3 linked regions of the Stegostoma tigrinum genome follow. The protein of the gene in region 3 interacts with the protein of the main gene of each other region in a pairwise test. Links are inferred from orthologs where the notes say so. Each region holds a gene or a part of one and is shown on either strand. Other genes may lie near its edges.

Evidence for each region.
Region 1: the proteins of tfg (region 3) and annexin A4-like interact in binary tests that used the Homo sapiens proteins (3 or more experiments, as listed by UniProt). The two-hybrid records come from large-scale screens. The link is inferred for Stegostoma tigrinum from reciprocal best matches to the Homo sapiens genes TFG and ANXA11.
Region 2: the proteins of tfg (region 3) and pef1 interact in binary tests that used the Homo sapiens proteins (3 or more experiments, as listed by UniProt). The two-hybrid records come from large-scale screens. The link is inferred for Stegostoma tigrinum from reciprocal best matches to the Homo sapiens genes TFG and PEF1.

Annotation. Positions count from the first base shown.
Region 1 is NC_081390.1:18,821,665-18,828,790, reverse strand, and holds the start of annexin A4-like, read right to left. Parts: upstream 3,113-7,126; 5' UTR 2,961-3,112; intron 2,542-2,960; exon of another isoform or gene 2,474-2,541; intron 1-2,473. UniProt on the Homo sapiens protein: Binds specifically to calcyclin in a calcium-dependent manner. Required for midbody formation and completion of the terminal phase of cytokinesis.
Region 2 is NC_081377.1:33,835,470-33,842,914, reverse strand, and holds the start of pef1 (peflin), read right to left. Parts: upstream 3,068-7,445; 5' UTR 3,062-3,067; coding exon 2,981-3,061; intron 1-2,980. UniProt on the Homo sapiens protein: Calcium-binding protein that acts as an adapter that bridges unrelated proteins or stabilizes weak protein-protein complexes in response to calcium.
Region 3 is NC_081365.1:29,138,227-29,145,235, reverse strand, and holds the start of tfg (protein TFG), read right to left. Parts: upstream 3,046-7,009; 5' UTR 2,932-3,045; intron 1-2,931. UniProt on the Homo sapiens protein: Plays a role in the normal dynamic function of the endoplasmic reticulum (ER) and its associated microtubules. Required for secretory cargo traffic from the endoplasmic reticulum to the Golgi apparatus.

The sequences.
Region 1 (7,126 bases), on a different chromosome or scaffold from region 3:
AGGAAGGTCTTGGCTGACGTAGTTTCTGTTAACATTCAGCTGTGCTTCTTTCAACAGAGCCTAACATTTCAGACCAACACTGAAAGCGATGCTTTTCAAAACATATTCTACAACATGAATCGTCTACCTGGCAATTGGTTCTTGGTTTATTGCCTTAATGTTTGCAGCTTGGCTTTGAACTTGTTCATACCAGCTCTGAGCAGAGGCAAGAACAAGCTGCACTGGTCCTAACCAGTTCTTTTGAACAAAACTATCTACCTTCTAACCTTTAAAAGGTCAGACTTAGGAGTACGAAAGTATTTTATTTCCAATTATAAGTAATCCTTGAAATACAGCAATATTCCACGGATAAACAAAGGTAATAACAGAATGGTAACAGCATTGAAAGAGGCTATTCAACTCATCAAGGTTATGTTTGAACTTTGCAAGTACAGTTCGGTTCATCTGACTCCCAGCCCTTATACTCAACCATCCAAATGTTTCCTGTCCACAGCGAGCTCTCACAAGCAGCAGTAATATGCACAGCAGGTAATCTATTTGTGTGATATTGCTAGAGGAATAGGTATTGGCCAGGGCACTAAGGAAAACTACAAATTTAAAGAACTGTGGATGCTGGAAATCAGAAACCAAAACAGAAATTGACGGAAAAGCTCAACGGGAGCAGTCACATCCGTGGAGAGAAATCAGAGTTTAACGTTTCGGATCCAGTGACCATTCTTTAGAACCTACTGGCTTTTTCCAACAATTTCTGTTGTTGGCACTAAACAGAACTGCCTACATCTATTGTCCCGTTGCTTATTCAATCCCCTTCAAAAGCTCTGATTGCATTGGTCTCCATCACCTTTTCAGGGATCACAATCCAGATACAACAAACCTCGTGGAATAAAAAGGTTTACCATCCCAATTTGGCTTTGATTCTTTTGCCTTTCATTGGTTGTTAAGTCTTCTGCCAATAATGGCCATTATCTTGACACCATCATGACTGTGAACACTTCTAACAAATCTCCTCTTGATCTTCCCTTCTCAAGAGGAAGCTGGTCCAGTTTCTCCAATCTATCCCTGTAATATCCTCTTATACATCTTTTCTACAGTCTCGCCAAAAGGTTCATATTCTTCTTAAAATATGGTGCCCAGAATTGGAAGCACTATTGTTTGGTAGAGGCATAGAAATGTACAGCACAGATACAGAGCCTACGGTCCAAATCATCCATGCTGACTAGATATTCCAGATTAATCTAGTCCCATTTGCCAACAGTTGGCCCATATCCATCTAAACTCTTCTTATTCATATAACTATCTAGATGCCTTTTAAATATTGTAATGGTGCCAGCCTCCACCACTTCCACTGGCAGCTCATTCCACACATGCACCACCCTCTGCATGAAAATGTTGTCCCTTATAAATCTTTGCCCCCTCACCTGAAACCTGTGCCCTCCAGTTTTGGACTCCGCTACCCTGGGGAAAAGACTTTAGCTATTCAGCTATCCACGCCCTTCATGATTTTACAAACTCTATAAGGTCACCCTCAGCCTCTGATGCTCCAGGGAAAATAGCCCCAGCCTGTTCAGCGTCTCCCTGTGGCTCAAACCCTCCAACCCTGGAAAATGTCCTTTTGGGCAACAACTCAACTGTCCTTACCTGGGTCTGGCCTACATGTGACTCCAGGCCCATAGGAACATAGATGACTCTTAACAAGCCTTTGAAAGGACAACTAGGGACGCACAACAAATGCTGGGCTAACTGGGACTGAAGGAAATTGAGGCTAATCCAGTATTTTATAAATGATTCATCCCATTCAATGTGAGGTGAAGCTGATAATTCCATTCAATAACTTGTTTAAATGAAAGCAGTAGGGCAGAACTACACCTTAACACCCTGAAGGTGCTGGGTATGCTTACACAGGCTGTTTGAGCTGCGCAATTTGTCACATCCCCTTCAAAAGATTCATATTGTCTTATAACATGTGCTTGAAGCTCTTGTTGCAGAGTGGTAGCATTCCTGCTTCTAGCCAAAAAACATCCAGGTTCAAGTCCCATCTGCTCCAGAGGTGCGTCATGACATGTCAAAAGAGGCGAGTTTTTTTTAAAAAATCTATAACTTTGCTAAAAATTAAAACAGGAGACCAGACCCACTCCTTAATACCCAGAAGATGGTAAATGTGATCATGTTCAAGATTCCCCTCTGATATTATCTAATATTATTATTAATATTAGCTAATATTGTCATTAAAAAAGACTTGAGCATCTTGTAACAAATTGTTAGTGCTCCTATTTCTAGACCACAAGGCTTCAATTATCACTTTAAGATTCAATGGCTACAGAACTGTCAGACGTCTAAATAGGTTGATAGATTTTTTTTCTCTAAAACACGCTCATCATTTCTGTGCCAAGTAGAATGCATTCTCAAGACTGGACCAGAATATGAGGGGAAAACAATCAACAGTTTTACACAGATACACACGCTTGCGGTTTACTGTTCAGGAGAACTGCAGGACTCTCAAGTCGATCAGTCGACACTAGACGATGTAATCAATTGGCTTTCCTGAAATCAGAAATTAAGTGATAGGCATTGCTTTCAGAGAAAGTGTCGCCACACTAGATACTTAAAAAAAGGAAAGGCTTCAAACGGGCGATGGTCATCATAAAAAGAAACTGCAAGGGAACAGGAGAGCTGGCAAGTTGCCCATCTCCTTGCTCCTTGTGAGTTTCAAGCGTCTTTTAATCACTGGGATATAGATTCACGCCAGCATCGATCCCCATACCAGCACCCCAACCAAACACACCCCTGTCCCACCCCAGCACAACCATAATCCGTTTCAAACCAGGAGCTGCGATGTTTAGCGAATGTGCTTTGCCGGGGAGAGAGAGAATGAGCAGAGCAATTACATCGAGGACGAACTGATACATTGTTTCGGGAAAGAAAACAAATCAGATTTTGATCGGGATGGTATTTTCACCTACCTGCAAGGCGCTTGATCCGTACAGCAAGTTCCGCAGACTTCTTCCTCTTCTTAGCTCGTCCGCCCTGTTTTTTTCGGTATACTAAAATAGACGTAAATCTATTCAGCTGACCTTCCTACTCAATACCACCCGCCCATCACAACGTCAGAAGCTAAAGCAACAAATTAGACGGTGGAAAAAGAGGACGTGGAATTTGTTCAGTTGTAGCCTTGATATTATCTGCATTGTAAAGTTGAAGAAGGAAGTGCGGGGACTTTATTTTGAAAGACTGAGTCATCTCAGAGGGGCTATGTAATTATTTGGGGGGGAAATTCTCAGTCCATAGTGTCAGTCGTGTTCTCTTGAGCGCGCCTCTGTTAAAAAAAAATTGTAACAAGCTTCCGTACAAAAGTTGCTACATTACAGATGAAACCTCACATCTCATCCTGCTGCGGAAGAGAAATTATTCGTACAATTGCTAGAAAATAGGAGATAAGGACCTGCGCAGTCAGAGGACGTCCCAAAGCACTTAACAGTCAATGAAGCTCTTTATCAAATTGGTGTTCTAGAGTAGAAAAATTGCGGTAGCATTTCACTCAAACTATGCCCCTTTGTATAACACTGAAACAAAACAAACAAGCTGGGGACCTTAAACAAAAACAGATGCATCACAGCGTGTTTCAGCGACTGCTCTGACCAGGACGTTACAAACTCCAGTCTAATCCAGCCTTCCATCCATTGACTTCATCTATACTTCTCCCTGCCTCAGAAGGGCAGCCAACAGAAACCCCTCCCACCCACGTTATAATCTCTTTCAACCTCTTCCCTCTGGCAAAAGATACAAAAGCATAAACACATCTCCCAACAGGTTTAAGAACAGCTTCTTCCCTGTTGTTATTAGACTTCTGAATGGACCTCCCAAATTTCAAATTTGATGCTGATCTTGCTCTTTGTGCTGTAACATTATATTCCTCGATAATAAAGTGTGAAGCTGGATGAACACAGCAGACCCAGCAGCATCTCAGGAGCACAAAAGCTAACGTTTCGGGCCTAGAGCCCCTTCTCCACTTTGTGTGGTATGATCTGCCCATACTGCACACTAAACCAAACGTTTCACTGTACCTAGGTACATGTGACAATAATAATTCAAAGCCAGTCAAAATCAAATTTTAAAAATTAGAAACTGCTGGAGAAACTCAACAGGTCTGGCAGCATCTATGAACAGAGCGACAGATAACATTTCGAGTCCAGTGATCATTTTTCACTTCTGCTTCTGTTTCTCTTTCCGCAGATGCTGCCAGACTTGCTGAGTTTCTCTAATAATTACTGTTTTTACATTCCTTTGTAACAGGGGTGCTGTCTCTTTGTAAACGTGCACAACAACGTCTTACAGAAGGCAGCAATGTGATAATGAGCAGAAAGCGGTGTTGTTGATTGAGAGCTCGATATCAGCCAGGGCTACTGTTCTTGGGAATAGTGACACAGGATCTTTGATACCTCACTCGAACAAAGTGTGAAAGGGGTCTGGCCCCCATTTGAGAGGCAGCACTTTCAAGAATGCAGTATATACAAGTAACAAAAGACATATCATTTTAGTGAGATAACAAGGTGTAGAGCTGGATGAACACAGCAGGCAAAGTAGCATCAGAGGAGCAAGAAGGCTGACGTTTTGGGCCTAGAGTGCATTGGCAAAACCCAGTAACCAGCTATAAAGGATCGAAGATCTTGTAATACTATCTGAATGGCAAGAGGCTAGAAATTATGAAGGGGACGGAGGGGCTTAGGTCCCTATATGCATGACTCATTAAATGCTAGTACATTGATTCAAAATATAACAAATACAGAAAGCAGGAAGCAAATAAGTGTCCTTCCTGTCAGGTCTAGGCAATTAAATTCAATATCAGGGACCCTTTAAACCAAGCAAACATGATGAACAAATAATCAAACTAGTGTTTGTCTCAGAGGGCAAATAAACATTTCTCGCTCTTTCTCACAAAAAATCCAATGAAGTGTATCTTCATATGTCCCCCTTAACACACTAGACCTCATCAGAGGCACACTGTTGTTACAGGAGTAAACTGTACACACCACCTACAGAATAGACTGCAAATTGCCAAGCTTGCTTTGACAATATTGCCCAGCCTTGTTGTCATCACCAAGATGGAGAAAAACAGCAGCAAAATCATGGGAACATTATTATGTTTAAATGGCACAAACTATGAATTGTAAATGTGCCTCTACTTCCTCATCCCTGGATCAAAAATTACCTGCCTAACAGTATTTTAATACTGACAATATTAGGACTTCAGCAGTTCATAACAGAAATTCACTTCCATTATCTCAATTGAACTAGGGATGGAGAATAAACATGTTTCTACTAATTTGCACTTCATACATTAAAAAGCCTTTGTTCAAAGGAAGCCAACTGTTATGATCTAATCTGGGAAATGCATAAACATCTATCATCTGGAAATGATCGCTGGACAGTTGCAGCAATGAGTCAGAAGAGAGCAGAAGATAGACCCCTGGTGAGTTCTAACATGCAGGGACACTTATCCTACATAACAGAAATAGATACAAGCCACATTGACTGATCAGGCATATTTGCTTGTGTCTATCAAGAGCCAGCTTTGTCTTCTAACCCTATCAAGATCTCAAACGAGAATGCCAGATTCTCCAGTGAAGACACTATCAGATTGGGTAGAGATGAATACAATGTCAACATTAACTGTTTCAGAATTATTATTTTTATAACACCTGTCACCCTGTTATAAACCGTCACTTTTGTATCGTCCTCTCTCTCCTTTCTATGACTTTCTATTTGCTTAAATCCTGTTATATTTTCCAGCTCTGAAGAAATGTCACAAACCTAAAATATTAACTCTGTTTTTCCACCCAAGCTGCTTCCTGGACAATCGCTACATATTTATCCAATCAATGGCTGAACAGGAGTAAATTTTACAAGAAATTGAATAATATAAAAGCAACCTTGCTATTGTGTTCCTGAAAAATGTGATCTCATTGTGAATAAAATAATTTATTTTAGGAATTGCATCAAATGAGTTCTGGTTGCTTAAGAGAACTTTAAAGAATTCCTGTGTGTGGTTTGGTTACAATGAAAGTAATGTCACTTCTTTAAAGAATCTTATCTCTCCATGAAGAAGTCTTTTGTTGTTCATATTATTTGTTCTGCTGTGGGAGCAACAAGACAATATGATACACAAAGGGTGGAGATATAATGTTACTGTGATACTGTCCTAACTGTTACAATGCAAAATTGACTGCATAACTCCAGAACTGGATCTAGATTTGACTTCAGAATGGAGCGGTGTGAAACCTCTGAGGGAGAGAACCACGTTGTCACTCATTTGTGGCATCAACCTGGGTTACAAATGTATTTAAATATTGCTGTGGATCTTCTGGGTATTTTCAAACTGACCTAGACTTTGAAATATGTTGAGAGTATAGCTTTCTCCTAATCCGTATGGCTTAACAACAGAGCTCAATTTATTTTTAAGCAAGATGCTCTCTGCATAGGTTCATAATTTCAATTAGGAGCGAGACATCGCCAAGTTTCCCAGTCTGATGTCTGAAGTGTAGACACAACCAAAGAAAGATGTGTTCATGGGTCTTGTGAATGAGAGTCTTTGTATAAGGTTGACTTGTGGTACCACTGAAAGGCACATAAACTTTAACAGTTTCCAGCACTCATTCTAAAAATATTGTCTATAAATAGTTCCAAGGTTCAACAAATCCAAGTGATATACATTAAGCTCTTACAACTGCATCTAAAAATAAGTCCATTTTCTATGATTCGCACGGATCCTGATTCCTACTCTGCCTCTTCTTAATTGAAAGAACAATCATTGTTTGATTTATGGGCTGCTTCTCAAATATTATCTGACAAATAGAAATGAGGCCCTACCAAAAGTCAATAAAGAACCTCTGTTAGTTTAATCATTTACCTGTAAACTTTTCCTATCATCAGTTGTCTGTTTACATTTTTCAGAGTGCACAGTGAGTCTTTGAAATCCTCTTTTAAACTCATCTGTGCTACTTGCTTCACACCCATCCTAATTTTGATTTTTTAATTGTAACACTATACATGATATTATAGCCACATAGAAGCTTCCATTCTCCTGAATGCAATTTGCTTACGGCACTATTTAACTAACATGTTGAGTTGA
Region 2 (7,445 bases), on a different chromosome or scaffold from region 3:
GAGAGTGGGTGGTCCTTGTCTTTTTACGAATAACCCCAGCCTCTGATAACAGTCTCTTGCTTAGCATTACAAATCATGGCCATTGGTAGAATCATACAACTTTTGGCAGTGATGGCAGAAGAGCTAGAACCTTGAGGAACAACAAGTTGCTTTCACGTGAAGGAGGGTCCTATGGGAAGAGAGCTTGTTTCCTTCAAGCTCACATGAGACAGGCAATGGGAAATCAGCTCATGTATTCTTGTCCCTAGACATATTGATCACCTAAGTTGAAACTAGGCAGTTCCTATGAACAACTAAAGAGGGAAGCAAGGGAACTTCTTCTGAACAGGTCACTACAGCATGTTCCATTTTTTGATTAGTTTGGTAATACGAAAAATAACTCATATTTTGCCTTTCCAGGTTAATTTTCTAAACTTTGAACATGTTAAACTCGCCATTTAATACTGCAGTGACTGTGAGATATTTTCCACTAACAGCAATCTTCCACCATATCAAAAAGATGATGAACTGAATACCAGACAACTGAATAACAGTATGAATTTCAGTGCCGGTGTTACATAGACCATACATCCTAATCAGCAAAATGTTCCTTTGGCTATTTATAATAGGCACGGTACAGACCATATTCAACCAGCCCACACATACATGCAAAGCATAAATCAAATCATTTGCTGTTCGATCTGATTGGACAGCACTTGCAGAACAATTCTCAGTATGCCAGTAGCTGCATTAGGAACCAAGTTAAGATATTCCGTAGAGGTTATAACTTGTTTCACTTATGCTTGTGATAACAAGATGTAGAGCTGGATGAGCACAGCAAGCCAAGCAGCATCAGTGGTGCAGGAAGACTGATGTTTCGGACCTAGACCTGAATGAACATTTTCTGAAGGGTCTAAGCCCGAAACATCAGCCCTCCTGATCCTCTGATGCTGCTTGGCCTGCTGTGGTCATCCAGCTCTACATCCTGTTATCTCAGATTCTCCAGCATCTGCAGTTCCAACTATCACTTATGCTTGTGCCTGCCCCATAGTCATACAAATTACAACTGTTACAGTAGGGATAAACTTAACCATACTGGGAAAGTCATAACCTTGCAAGATGTTAGCAAATGTCCCATAAACTAAACTGTTTCCAAAAAACGTATCTGTGCTACCATGCATTGCTAGAAAGCATGCCCTGGTCCAAAGAAGCAGTACAGTCACAGCCTTTATGATCAATCGAACTGCCATCTTAAGAAACAGAAGCATGAAAAATCACGAGGGGCATGGATAGGGTGAATAGCCAAGGTCTTTTTCCTACAATGGACCAAGTCCAACTTAGTGGACACAGTTTAAGGTAGGAGGGGAAAGATTTAAAAAGGACCTGAGGGGTAACTTTTTCACACAGAGAGTGGTGCACATATAGAACAAGGTGCTGGGGAAAGTGGAGGTGGTGGGTAAAATTACAACATTTAAAGGTATCTGGTTGGTTGTATGAATAAGAAGGGTTTAGATGGATTTGGGTCAAATGCTAACAAGTGGGACCAGGTCACGAAGGGTCTGTTTTCATGCTGTATGACTCTATGCAGCTCTTTCACCCTACTCCAGCATTCAATACGATAATAGCCAAAGGTTCACACTAACAAGATGCAAACAAAACATTCACTTATGCGTAGCATTCTGATTATTCTTCTGTCAGCACATCTGTGGATTGCAACAGATTAAGCAACCTCAAACTGCCTCCCACACATAAATGCTTTGTTTTTGTTGAAAGGGATAGCCTTTCAACATTTCAAACTGTTTGAATAACACTACAAAAATAACATGTTACTCAAGAGTATACACGGCTGAAATGAAAAAAACAAATAAGTCTCTGACTTCATGTCATCATCATTGTTCCATGTGCCTGTCATCTGATCTTTTTTCTTTAATACCATCATTACTGCAAGGATAGTCTCTGTGTCTTTCCCTTCGTCTCATTCTCAGAAAATCTTCAGGTTAATTTTGCATCTTTTGATTTGATGTTGATCTAGTTGCAAGTGGCACATTACTTCAAGTCAATTTCACAATATTTCACAACCCCAAGCAGAAGTATGCAGCTAGCAGTAGCTAAATTCCCATCCAAATAAGCCTGTCTGGAGGTACAAATACCCATCATGATGGCAAGGAAAGTACCTCTTCTAGTTGTTGGAAAAGATAAACTGCCCTTTGATTGATGTAGAAGAACCAGATTGTCTTAACAATACCTTCTTCATGTTAGCTAAACTGAAAAGTTCCGCTTTGACAAAACTAGAAAGGAAAGGTTGATAGGTTCTGGCAGATTTTTTTGGGAAACAACAATCCTCAACTAACAGGATTAATACTATAAGTGTATACAAGACCATAAAACTTCCCCAAAAATGTTAGTTTCTAAATTAACAAGCTAAACAAGCTCCTAAGTATAGTTTTAATGCTATAATACTCACAGCGAGTAAGCTTTTTTAAAGCAGAAGATTTATCTAATCATTGTTCCGCATTTTACAAAATAAAACTTATTTCCGAGGACAAGAAGCCTTCAGATTCGGGAAGGAAATGAATTTGGAGAAAATCTATCCCAAGTTTGTAGATGAAGTATCAACAACAAAAAAGAATCCCAAGATTGAATTAACCCAGCCTCCTAACCTAGAGAAGGAAGTGGAAGGGGAAATTCCAGCCCCCAGGCATTTTCTGGAAGGGAGAAGACTACCTTCATCACCCACCCGGGCACCAGCACCACCTTCAAACGGGCCAGGGCCAGGGCCAGGGCCAGGGCCAGGGCCAGGGCCAGGGCCCCCTCAGTGGGACAGTTCGATCACCTCACCTCAGCTCAGCTCCGGGCCGAGGCACGCGCCTCTGCTCCCAGCCCTCAACTTTCAGCCCTAATTCCACGGAGAATGGCATCGCCTCTCCGAAACGCCCACAAGCCCGAGGCCCGAGGCCCGAGGCTCAAACTGCCCGAACCCGCAACCCGCTCCCCCACTCACCGAGCCATAAGGGTAGGTAGCCATCTCCAACTCAATAACGACCCGCCCGAGCACGCACACGCCCCGGGCCGTCTCCTTCATCCGATTGGTCCGTTGGCCGCAACGCCCCCACCAAACGCACGAAACGACGTGCCCTCTGATAGGTGGCTAAGCACGTCAGTCACAGGATGCGGAACCAGCCCCGCCCTCCATGACGTCAGGGGGCGTGGGAACATCACGTGGTTGTTCAGTGACATCACGGAAGGTAGGTCCTTCCTGTCACGTGGTCCTCCACCAGCGTTCCCGGAAGTGGGTGTTAGTGTTTGCAGCCAGATTATCTCTATGACATCGATCATCATCAATCTTTCAACCAGCGAGCTTCACCTCCCCATCGTGTCCTTAAAAAATAATCCTCAGCACCCAGTTGCCTGTCACTTTTCAATGCACCGCTGTGTTCTTATGCCAGCATTTGATGAGGAGGTGCCGGCGTGGGACTGTCAAAAATTACATGACACCAGGACATAGTCAAACAGGTTTAAAGTCAAAAGCTTTGGATGCGCCGCTTCTTCGTTCAGGTGCAGTGAGAGTGGGTAAACAGACGGAGTTTATACGCAGAGAGGTCGAAGGAGAATACAATTGGTGTGAGTGGAGTGAACAAACATAAACAGGGTAGTAAGGAAGATCTTGCAGATACAGGTGGGGTCACCTGTAGCTCGACATGAAGCCGAGATCACAGTGAGGCCATCTTCATGGGTACAGAACTTAGTTATCAGTCACTGCTCGGTGATTCTGCATTGTTGTGTACCCAGAGTTTGAATGCCCTTGACCGTTGGAAGTGTTCCCCAACTGGGAGGGAACACTCCTGGACGGCGATTGTTGCGCTTTGTTCATTCATCCATTTTTTTTAGTATCTGCATGGTCTTGCCGATATACCATGCTTTGGGGCATTCATGCCTGTAGTGTATGAGATAGACGACATTAGCCAAGTCACATACATTCATGAGGTAACAAGGTGTAGAGCTGGATGAACACAGCAGGCCAAGCAGTATCGGAGGAGCAGGAAGGCTGACGTTTCGGGCCAAGACCCTTCTCCAGAAAGGAGGGAGGGGAAGGGGGCTTTGAAATAAATAGTGGGAGGGGGAGGCAAATTGAAGATGGATAGAGGAGAAGATAGGTGGAGAGGATGGAGCCAGTAAAGGTGAGTGTAGGTGGATAGCTAGGGAGGGATATTTATCTCCCTATTTATTTCAGAAACCTCTTCCCCTCCCACATTTCTGAAGAAAGATCTAGGCCCGAAACATCAGCTTTCCTGCTCCTCTGATGCTGCTTGGCCTACTGTGTTCATCCAGCCTTGCACCTTGTTACCTCAGATTCTCCAGCATCTGCAGTTCCTACTATCTCTCACTGCTCTCGCTCGCTGTCTCTCTCACACACACACACAAATCTATGGGGTGAATCATTTCATCCAAGATGTTTATCCATTTGTCAGTTCCAGTCCATCAATGTAGCATTTTATAAATACCTGTTTTTGGAATAAAACCAGCCTGATTTCAGGTTAAAACTTGGAGACAGATTCTGCACGAGGCCTCACACTTACAACTCTGTGTCTGACCTGAGATGTCACCTTCTGAATTTCTGCCTGACTGAAGTTTGGAAAGTTAGGCAGACATTGATAAAACCTTTCATTATCTTTGGGCAGCAACTTGAAACACATTCTGAAATTTGCATCTTAATCAGTTCAAACTTGCATCTCCTTTCTAACAGAGTTCTTCATTAGCCATTTTATGTTTGTTCACTCCACTCACATCAGTTGTATGATGCTTTGATTTCTCTGTCTATAAACTCCGTGTCTGTGTGCCCTATCTCACTGCTGCTGATAAAAGAGTGGCACTCCAAAACCTTGAGATTTCGAATAAACCCATTGGACTATAACCTGGTGTCATGTGATTTTTAACTTATGCCATTACTTGTGTCTCAAGCTGGCTGCAGTGTTCCAGCAAGCTGAAAGCACCTTCCACCTAGGTTCCATACAGCCTTCAGGACTCAATATCAAATTTAAAAATTTTAGATCATGAATACCTCCTTCCGTATCTATTACCTACCCCTACACCTTGAGCCTGGTCATTGTACAGGTTGCTTCCAGCACAGCCAGCCCACTTTCAATTACTCATAGTCTCCATTATCAATTATCTAAACCTCTAATGCTCTGGCTTACTATCAACAGTGTTTTATCTGTGCCACTTGTTCTCTCCAAGCTCCATCTCCACCTATCAATTCAGTCCTTTACCACCCAAGCCCCACCATCATCAATTTAAACACTATCTTTTTCTCACCATTATCAATTCGATAAGTTCAATAAACCAGCAATGCTGTTTTCCCGTCACAGATGCTGCCCAAGCTGCTGAGTTTCTCCAACAATTCTCCAATGTTATAGGAAAGCTGATGTGGTAGCAGAATGCTGAGAGAATGGATTCCCTGTCTGAAGAGATTTGAAGACTGAGAAGGCACGAGAGTGCACTTATGGAAGTCAGTTTGTGTATGCACAATTTTGAATGAAGTTGCTTTTAGGACAGATCTGGAATTTCTTCAGTCAAAAGGGGGGTGACTCTGTGGAACCTATTGCCGCGGAGGGCTCTGGTGGCCATCATTGAATGTATTCAAGGCAGAGATATTCGGTTCTTGGTTGGTAAAGGGATCAAGTACTATGGGAAGAAGGCAGGAGAATGGGGTTAAGAAATGTATCAGTCATGACCAAACGGCAGAGAGCAACCTCAGTGGACTGAATGGCCTAATTCTCTTATACCTTGTGGTCTAAGACATGCCCAACTGCAGCGGGGGAAGACCCAAGTAGGAAATTAGGACTTAAAAACAAAGACCATTTTCCTACCTTGCCTTGATTTCTTTTCTTCTTCTTTTCTCCCCTTTTCCAGTCCTTTCACACTTACGTCTACAATTCTTCAGATGCTTTACATCAGTTTCAGAATTTCCAGTTTGCAGGCTCCAACCACCTCCTCTTTACCATGGATGTGCATTCCCTTCACACATCAGGATGGTCTCAGGGTTCTCCGCTACTTCCTGGAAAAAAGGCCTGAACCAAGGGTACCTGCATGAGTCCCAGTTATATCTGTTTCCTTCTGGGGTAAATGGAACTTTCCTTGTTTCAGTCATATGGTGCAAAGTTGGGTCGAATAATTGTAGATTGGAAGACAGGAAGTTAGAATTTGATGTTTGTAAAATGTTGGTGTCTGTAAAATGCTATGGGGAAAGCAGTACATGGTCCCTTTAAAAGATGGTGTTCTTTTTCTCTCCTTAGGCATCCTTTTTGATACTCCGTGCATTTGCAGGTGCACAGAGCACCTGAATCGAAACATGTATATTAAAAGGCTATGCAGTTAGCAGGTAGAGCAGCAGCATTTTTACCAAGACAACAGGTTTTTAAATTTAGCCAAATATTTTAAACCATGCTCTTAGATATCAAAAACTAATTAAATTTAAATCTCATGGTTTTGGCAACATAGGACCAATCCTTTTGTAAGAATTTGAAAGGTCATCAAGGGTGCAAAAGATGAGGGCATTTGGAAAATCAGGGGGAAGCCAACTGTCATCTGCCAAGAGAACAGCTCTCAGCTCTAAAAGAGAGAATCAGTGGCTCTCACACATTTCTCTAAGCCTTACAGTACGCTCCATCTAAATTAGAAGTACCTACAGTGCAAGTAATTAATGTTCCTGACACAAGAATTCATCAAAGACTCAGAACATTCTGGAAGACATAACTGGTTGTAGTTTTGAGAGACTAAATTCTGATTTTTTAAAATCTTGTTTTATGTAAGTGGAACATGTATTTATTGGAACAACATTCCTTTATAATCCTGTTTTCCAGTTAGTAGTTACAAGAGGTATTCAGTTTGTAAATAGTTTAGTCAGTTTGTTCACTGTTAAGAGTTAGATAAATAACTTGTTACTTGTTGATTATAAACAGTGTGTCAGGGGTTTATTTTTATTTAACCATTCCTTCATAGCACATTGGATCTGTTTTAACAGATTATAGGGCAAGGTGCACCTCTCCCAGTATTTTGGTTTTAGTTACCAAAGACGGTCAACCTCCACTTTAAAACAGATACGTGGGTCCCTCCCCGCGACTCTTTCTCTGGTACATCAATGACATCATTGGTGCCACAACCCTCGTCCAGAATTGGTTCACTTCCAATTTCCACCCCATTCTAGACTTCACCTGGTCTATCTCTAACTCCTCCCTTCTCTTCCTCAACATCTCTGTTTCCATTTCTGGGGATAGGCTGGCCCCCAGTATCCACCACAAACCCACTGACTCCCAGTTACATTAACAATGCATCCTCACACTCTGCTTCCTTTAAAGACTCTATTCCATTGTCCCAGTTCCTCTATCTCCATAGCATCTGTTCTGATGATGCCAACTTCGACAAGGAAGTTTCTTCTTCAACAATGATTCCCCAGCATCATGGTCGAG
Region 3 (7,009 bases):
GGGGGGATCTGACTGAGGTATATAAAATGCCAAAAGGGATTGATAAGGTGGTCATCGAATAGATGTCCCCCCCCTTGTGGGACAGTCTCAAATAAGTAGGCATAGATGTAGTGAGAGTAGCTAAGTTCAAAACTGAGATGAAGAGAAACTACTTTTCTCAGAGAGTTGAGAGTCTGTGGAACTCACTGCCACAGAGACAGAGGTAGAATCAAATCAACTGATTCAAAAGAGAAATAGGTGTTTCTGATGAAAAGCGAGATAAAGGGCTACGGGTTACAGGCAGAGAAGTGGAGTTGAGACCAGCATAAGATTTGATATGCTCATGTCAATGCCAAGAGGGCTCAAAGGACTGAACTGCCCATTCCTACTCCCAATTCCTACGGCCCAATGTTCCTATGAGTCGCGTTGCCTCACTGAGGATTAAATCCAAAATCACCATCCGTATCATTTACTTGACATAAATGCAAAAGTAATATAAACAGGGATTTAACAAATCAAATGGACCCCACTGTGCCTAAAAGCTTGAGTATGACCAATGAAATATTTTTGGATGGAAGAATTTTGGATATATACTGCATATATTCATTTCATTTTTGTAGGGAAAGGTACAGATTAAACGTGACATGGTCAATTCTTGACAACATATATGTCATACATACAAGAATATTCATTTATCATCTGTATCTGGTCTCTATTATGATTATACACAATGTTCATGTGTACTCAAAAATCAGATCTGAACTCCAACATCACAATTCCAAACGTAACTCAAAGTCAATGCAACAAAAATCAGTAAATGTATGATGAGCTGCTAGCCTCTGAGGTAGTTACTTCTTTTTAACGATTTCAGTGTCTAGGCCTGGATTATACTTGCGAAGAAAAGTTTTGTATATTCATGTCCCATTCTTTTGCCTACAAGCTTAGCAAGATATTAAGTATTAATAAGTATTAACATAGATTGGGGTTATCTAACAACATCACTGTCAAGAATTCGAGGTACAAATGGATTATGATTAAACACATAAGTAATAAAACAGCATGTATAAATTAACAATAGATGATATTTTACAATAAAATATGAAAAATATGCCCCAAAATGCTGAGAAATGCTCCAGTATTAAATTCCAAGTTTCCAGGAACATGTTCTCACCTCTTATTTACCATGATATCCATACACCTATTCACGAAGAAAATTAATCTGTAGGTACAGTACACTCACATATGCAATTAGTACCATACTACTGCAACTACGAGTCATTTGCAGCTTTCCCGTCAAAGTGCAAGTTAGAATTGATAATTCTGGAATATTTAGTATTCTGCTCAATAGCAAACGACAAGGAACATTTGACTCAAGGAATCGGTATCACATCAACCCAAGGGCACTTCAGGCAGGTAACATAGGATAACTGATCCAAATTCAAACTGCAACTGACTCCTCATGCTCCTTCAATTCATCCTGTTGTCCATTATCAAACCTTTAACAAACGTCCAAAATTGTTAGTATCTTAAGTTTGTGTTTGATTGGACCCATCTCTTCGAGAAGCAGTATAACCAAACAAGTGAAATGCAATTTTATGACAATCTACATATAAAATATTCTAACACTTGCACAAGCATTTTAAATCAATAGTTTAAAAAGCTTGCTGACAGAAAATCATCTCATCAGATAGACAGTTGCTGTCACTGCAGAAACATCATTTCCTTCATTGAAAATAAATGTTCTTTTCCTCAATTACAGACATGCTGATTGATTCAACTTTTTTTACATACTGAAACTCTACTCTTCAGCAGCCAGTTCCCTGTTTTCCATACACTTCGAACCAACCATTATGTATCACTTTTATACCTAACTCATCCCAGAAATCCTTCCAACATAAATCACAACAAACTGCTCAAAACGGTTTCTGCCCCCAGCCAAACTCAGGACAACCCCTTCCACCAAACACTGGTCCAAAGTTTACACAGACCCTTTTGCCACATCCTCCAATCTGTCTCAGAACCCACATTCATCCAATAACCCTGCCAAATTCCTCCCCCTGCTGACTGACCTTCCAATTTCCCCACCTCCCCCCTTCCCCAACCCCCAGATCCCTCCCCAACCCCCACCTCTGTCAACCTACCCCCAAAAACCGACGTCCCCAACCCCCCACCAACCTACACCCCAAATTCCCCACCTCGCCTACCAACATACCCTTCCCCATATTCCCCACCTCCCCCTCCGACCAACCCTCCCCTAACTTCCCTGCATCCCCCACCGACCTATTCTCCTAAATATACCCCTCCCCCACTGATCAACCCCTCAAATACCCCCTCACCCACTGACCAAACCCCCAAAATGTACTCCTCCGACCTACCCCCCCAAAACGTACACCCCTCCCCCGCCGTCCTACCCCCCAAATATCTCCACCCCCCCCCACCCAACTAACCCCACACCCCACCCCCCCACAAATGTCCCTCCTTCCCCACCAAACTCTCAGAAGACCTGTGTTCTGAACCGGGACAGATTTACTTCCTACACACCCAAACTCCCCGTCTCCGCTACCAAACTACCCTCTCCCTATATTCCCACCACCCCCACCGACCTCCCCGCCACCAAAAAAAAATGATGCTGCTTGGCCTGCTGTGTTCATCCAGCTTCACACTTTTGTTATCTCAGATTTACTTCCTGCCGGGTCTCACGTCTCTCCCACGGCAGGAAATCACCCCGTTCCCCGCCAACCCCTCAACCCTGGATCTGTACGGAATGAAGGAATGAGCGGCTCCGAGTGCGAACGGATGACACCAGGGGCCAGCCGGCTGGTTGATGGGAGCCGGGCCGGGAGTAGGCCTGGGGCCCGCTCCTCACTTGGACCGGCCTCTCCGTTCACTGCTCAATCAGTACTGAAGGAATGTGTTTGTGTGTATGAGAGAGAGAGAGAGAAAAATACAAACCTGTGGCTGGGAGTTTGCGGGGTTTTTTTTTGAAGCGAGCTCAGTGCCTGTCCTTCTCTCCGTTTCCTACAAACGCCAAGTCCCTCCCCTCTCTCCTCCCGGGCCTGCCGTCTGGACGTGGCAAAGCGCAGCGAGCATGCGCACTCACACATGAAGGTTGGCATTTCCCTCCCTGCATTCAGCATTTTAACATTTTTCAGGAAGTCTGCCCATCTGAAGGATTTGAATTCCATAAAAAGATACATTTCTCCTTCTGTTAATATAGTTTACAGGAAAAAAAAAGTAGGCCATTCACCTCTTGGACTTGTTCCACCAATCTGGCTGATAATTCCAACTCAGGACCTTGTCCCTTTTTTGAAATACCTTTGATCTCTTTAGCCATAAGAACTGTATCTCACTCCATCTTGGAAAACATCCAATATTTTGGTCTGAATTGCTTTTTGTAGCGAGAATTCCACAGCCTCACTATCTCACCTCAATCCGAAAGGGTCTAACCTCTACCCTTTGACTGTGACCTCTGGTCCTGGACTCCCAGATCATCAAGAATATCCTGCTTTAATGAAGAAGGCTCACCGGACCCAAAATGTTATTTCTGATTTCTCTCCACAGACTTAATATTTTGGGCCCGGTGACCCTTGCTTTGAACTTCCTGAGTTCGGTAGAAGGGTCACTGGACCCAAAACGTTAACTCCGATTTATTCTCCACAGATGCCGCCAGACCTGCTGAGCTTGCAGAAACTTCTGTTTTTGTTCCTGATTTACAGTATCCACAGTTCTTTTGGTTTTTCTTCTCTCCACAGATGCTGCCAAATCTGCTGAGTTTTCCAGCAATTTCTGTTTTGTTTCTGATTTCCAGCATCCACAGTTCTTTTGGTTATTTTACATCCTGCACGTGCCATATCTAATCATTTAGAATTTTATACAGTTCTATGAAGTCCTCTTCTTTTAATCTTCAGTGGACATAGTCCTGACCAATCCTGTCTCTCTTCATACATTGGTTTTGCTGTCCCAGGTATTGGCCAGGTAAACTTTTGGTGCACTCCATCCATAGCCACAATGATCTTCCTCAGATACGGAGTCCAAAATTGTGCGCAGTATTCCAGGTGTGGTCTCACCACATTATAATGGCAAAATTATAATTTGTCATATTTTAAAAACCATTTTACAGGGAGTGAGTGTCATTGGCCATGCCAGCATTTATTACCATGCTTACTTAGCCTTAAGAAGGTGGAGATGAGCTGCCTTCCCAAGCCACTGCAGTCCACATGTTGTAGGTACATTAGCAGTGCTGTTCTGAATGGACAGGAATGTGTCTGTCCTCTAACAGGTTTAGTGAGTGAGAATTGTGAGTATTGTGCAAAGGGAGATTGGTTCATTTAATCAAATCTTTCCTCTTGAGGAAATTGTAAGATTCTGTCAAATGCCATCAATCAAATATCATCCAATTCTGTTTTCAGAGCAACAAACTGTCAAAATCTGCTGCCAAACACTGCAAATGTGCAGGTCATCTCTACATTCAATGTTTTCCTAAATAGACAAAGTCAGAAGTCATATGTCACCAGGTCATAGTCCAACAGGTTTATTTAAAATCACAAGCTCCAAAAGTGTTGTGTGACTTCTGCCTATGTCCACCCCAGTCCAACACGGACATCTCTACATCATTTCTGAATGGAGCTACCCTTCAGCTTCTATAAATGCTGTCTTGACCAAAACATTGCTGCTCATGTCCTATCTCACTATCCTACTTATTGATCATGCATTTGCTGTCTAGAATCAAAAAATTAGAATGTAGGCAAAGCAATAATTAGGAAGACAAATTTAATGTTGGCTTTTTAATGTGGGAATTGCAGTATAAAAGTAAGGAAGTCATATTACAACTTTACCATACATTAGTGAGACCATATCTAAAAATTATGTACAATTTCAAACTCCTGACTTAGGAAGGGATATCCATGCATCGGTAACAATTCAGAGAATATTCACTAGGCTAATTCTTAAGATATTGAGGTTTTCTTATTTGGAAAGGCTCAGCAGGTTGAGCCTGTGCTCTTTAGCATTTAGAGAAATGAGAGGTGATCTTATTGAAACATATAAATTTTTAATGCAGCTTTAAAAACGCTGAGAGAATGTTACCCTCATTGGGAATTATGGAACTTTGGGGCATAATATTATTAAGACTCCATGAAAGACTAAAATGAAGAGGAATCTTTCCTTTGAGTGCCATTATTCTTCCAAATTCTGTTCCACAGAGAGCAGTTGAGGTTGAATCATTGAATATATTCAGGACTCAGTTAGACTTTTCTTCAACAAAAGAGCCACAAGTTCTGAGTGGCAGGCAGGAAAGTGGAGTTAAAACAATAATCAGATCGATCATGTAACCTCCTTCAGCATGTTCTATATAAACATAGTCAGAAATCGCACAACTCCAGATTATAGTCCAACAGGTTTATTTGAACACACCACCTTTCAGAGCCACAGGAAGGGTCTTCTGAAGAAGGGTCTAGCATCAGCTTTCGTGCTCCTGAGACGCTGCCTGGCCTGCTGTGTTCATCCAGCTCTACACCTTGTTATGTCTTTCAGAGCCACAGTCCTTCTTCAGGCATTAGTGAGGGAGGTAGTATCAGACACAGAATTTATAAATAAAAGATCAAAGGTTCACACCATTGATGTACTAAACAAACCTAAGATGCTGTTAAATCTTCAATTAGTTAAAAAATTTTAATTGATTAATCCACATATGTAGACCCCCAAATTCCTTTCAAGTCATGGTCCTGAGAAAAGTGAAGGTTTTATCAGTGTAAACAAGAGATGACATTTTAGGTCAGACAATGCATGTTAGGTGTGAGGCCTTGTTCAGAATCTGTTTGTGTTTTAGTTTGGAGCCAGACTGGTTTTATGTCTAAAGTAGGAAGTAATAAAACACCATATTGACTGACTGGCAATAAATTGTGTGCTTTTTGAACAAAATAAGATGTATCTACAAATATAAATTCACCCCATAGATTCACGTGTGTATATGAGACGGTGGGGAACGGGTGCGTGGATTCATCAATGGTATGATACTATCTCTCCCGTTAACACCTGAGGAAGGACTGAAGCTCTGAAAGCCTGTGTTTTCAAATAAGCCTGTTGGACTATAACCTGGTGTAGTGTGACTTCTGATTTTGTCCACCCCAGTCCAACATCAGCACCTCCACATCATATATAAACATAAGTTTGAGCACTTTACAGGGAGAGGGAGATACATACTGGGCAATGGATTCTGAGAGTTGGCAAGGGAAAGTGTTTTTGGAAATGAATTCAAGACTTGGTTTAAGTCGCTAAAACAGAGGTAGGAAAGAATAAATAGGACTGTAATCTGGAATCAGAAAAATAGAGCTGATGGATAGAGATGTAGGGTTGGAGATGACTTCTCAGATAGATTTGACTGAATTGAAAACTTATTGAAAAGAGCTAATGAAGTAATGGCTTAGAGCTATGTAGAATCATACTTAGGAGAGAATTTGGGCTGAAAACTTAGTTTATTGAGATGGGAGGCTGGTACTTGTTGAAATGAGAATCATGGATGAAGGTTTCAACAACAGTACAAGTGAAATGGGAAAGAGGTCAGAAATGCTCAGGTCAGGTGGAAAAAGACTCTCTGAGATAAGAGCCTGAAATAGGACTTAAGATTATATTGAGTGCTAAGGATAATAACTGGATGATTAAAAAGAAGATGTCAAGAGGTATACAGCCTCTCAGTTTACTGGACGTGACTATGTGGACACAGGAGAATATTTGTTTGACAAAGTAATCAGGGTTTATGAGAAAGAAATTGCATTAGTCAAATTTCTGAGAATTATTTGGGGCTGCAGCAAGTAGGTGGATTTCAAAAATTATTTGAATGATATTTTTATAATTTAAAGGCTCATGAGGTTTGGGTAATGTACTTACATGGCTGGATAATTGGTTGATATGCAGGAAACAGATATTGAACTTACAATAATGTTTCATTTTCAGTTTGGCTGGCCTCTACTCATGGGTTGCCACCATTGCTACTTACAATCTATACTAATGATTTAGTTGAAGGGTCTGAATG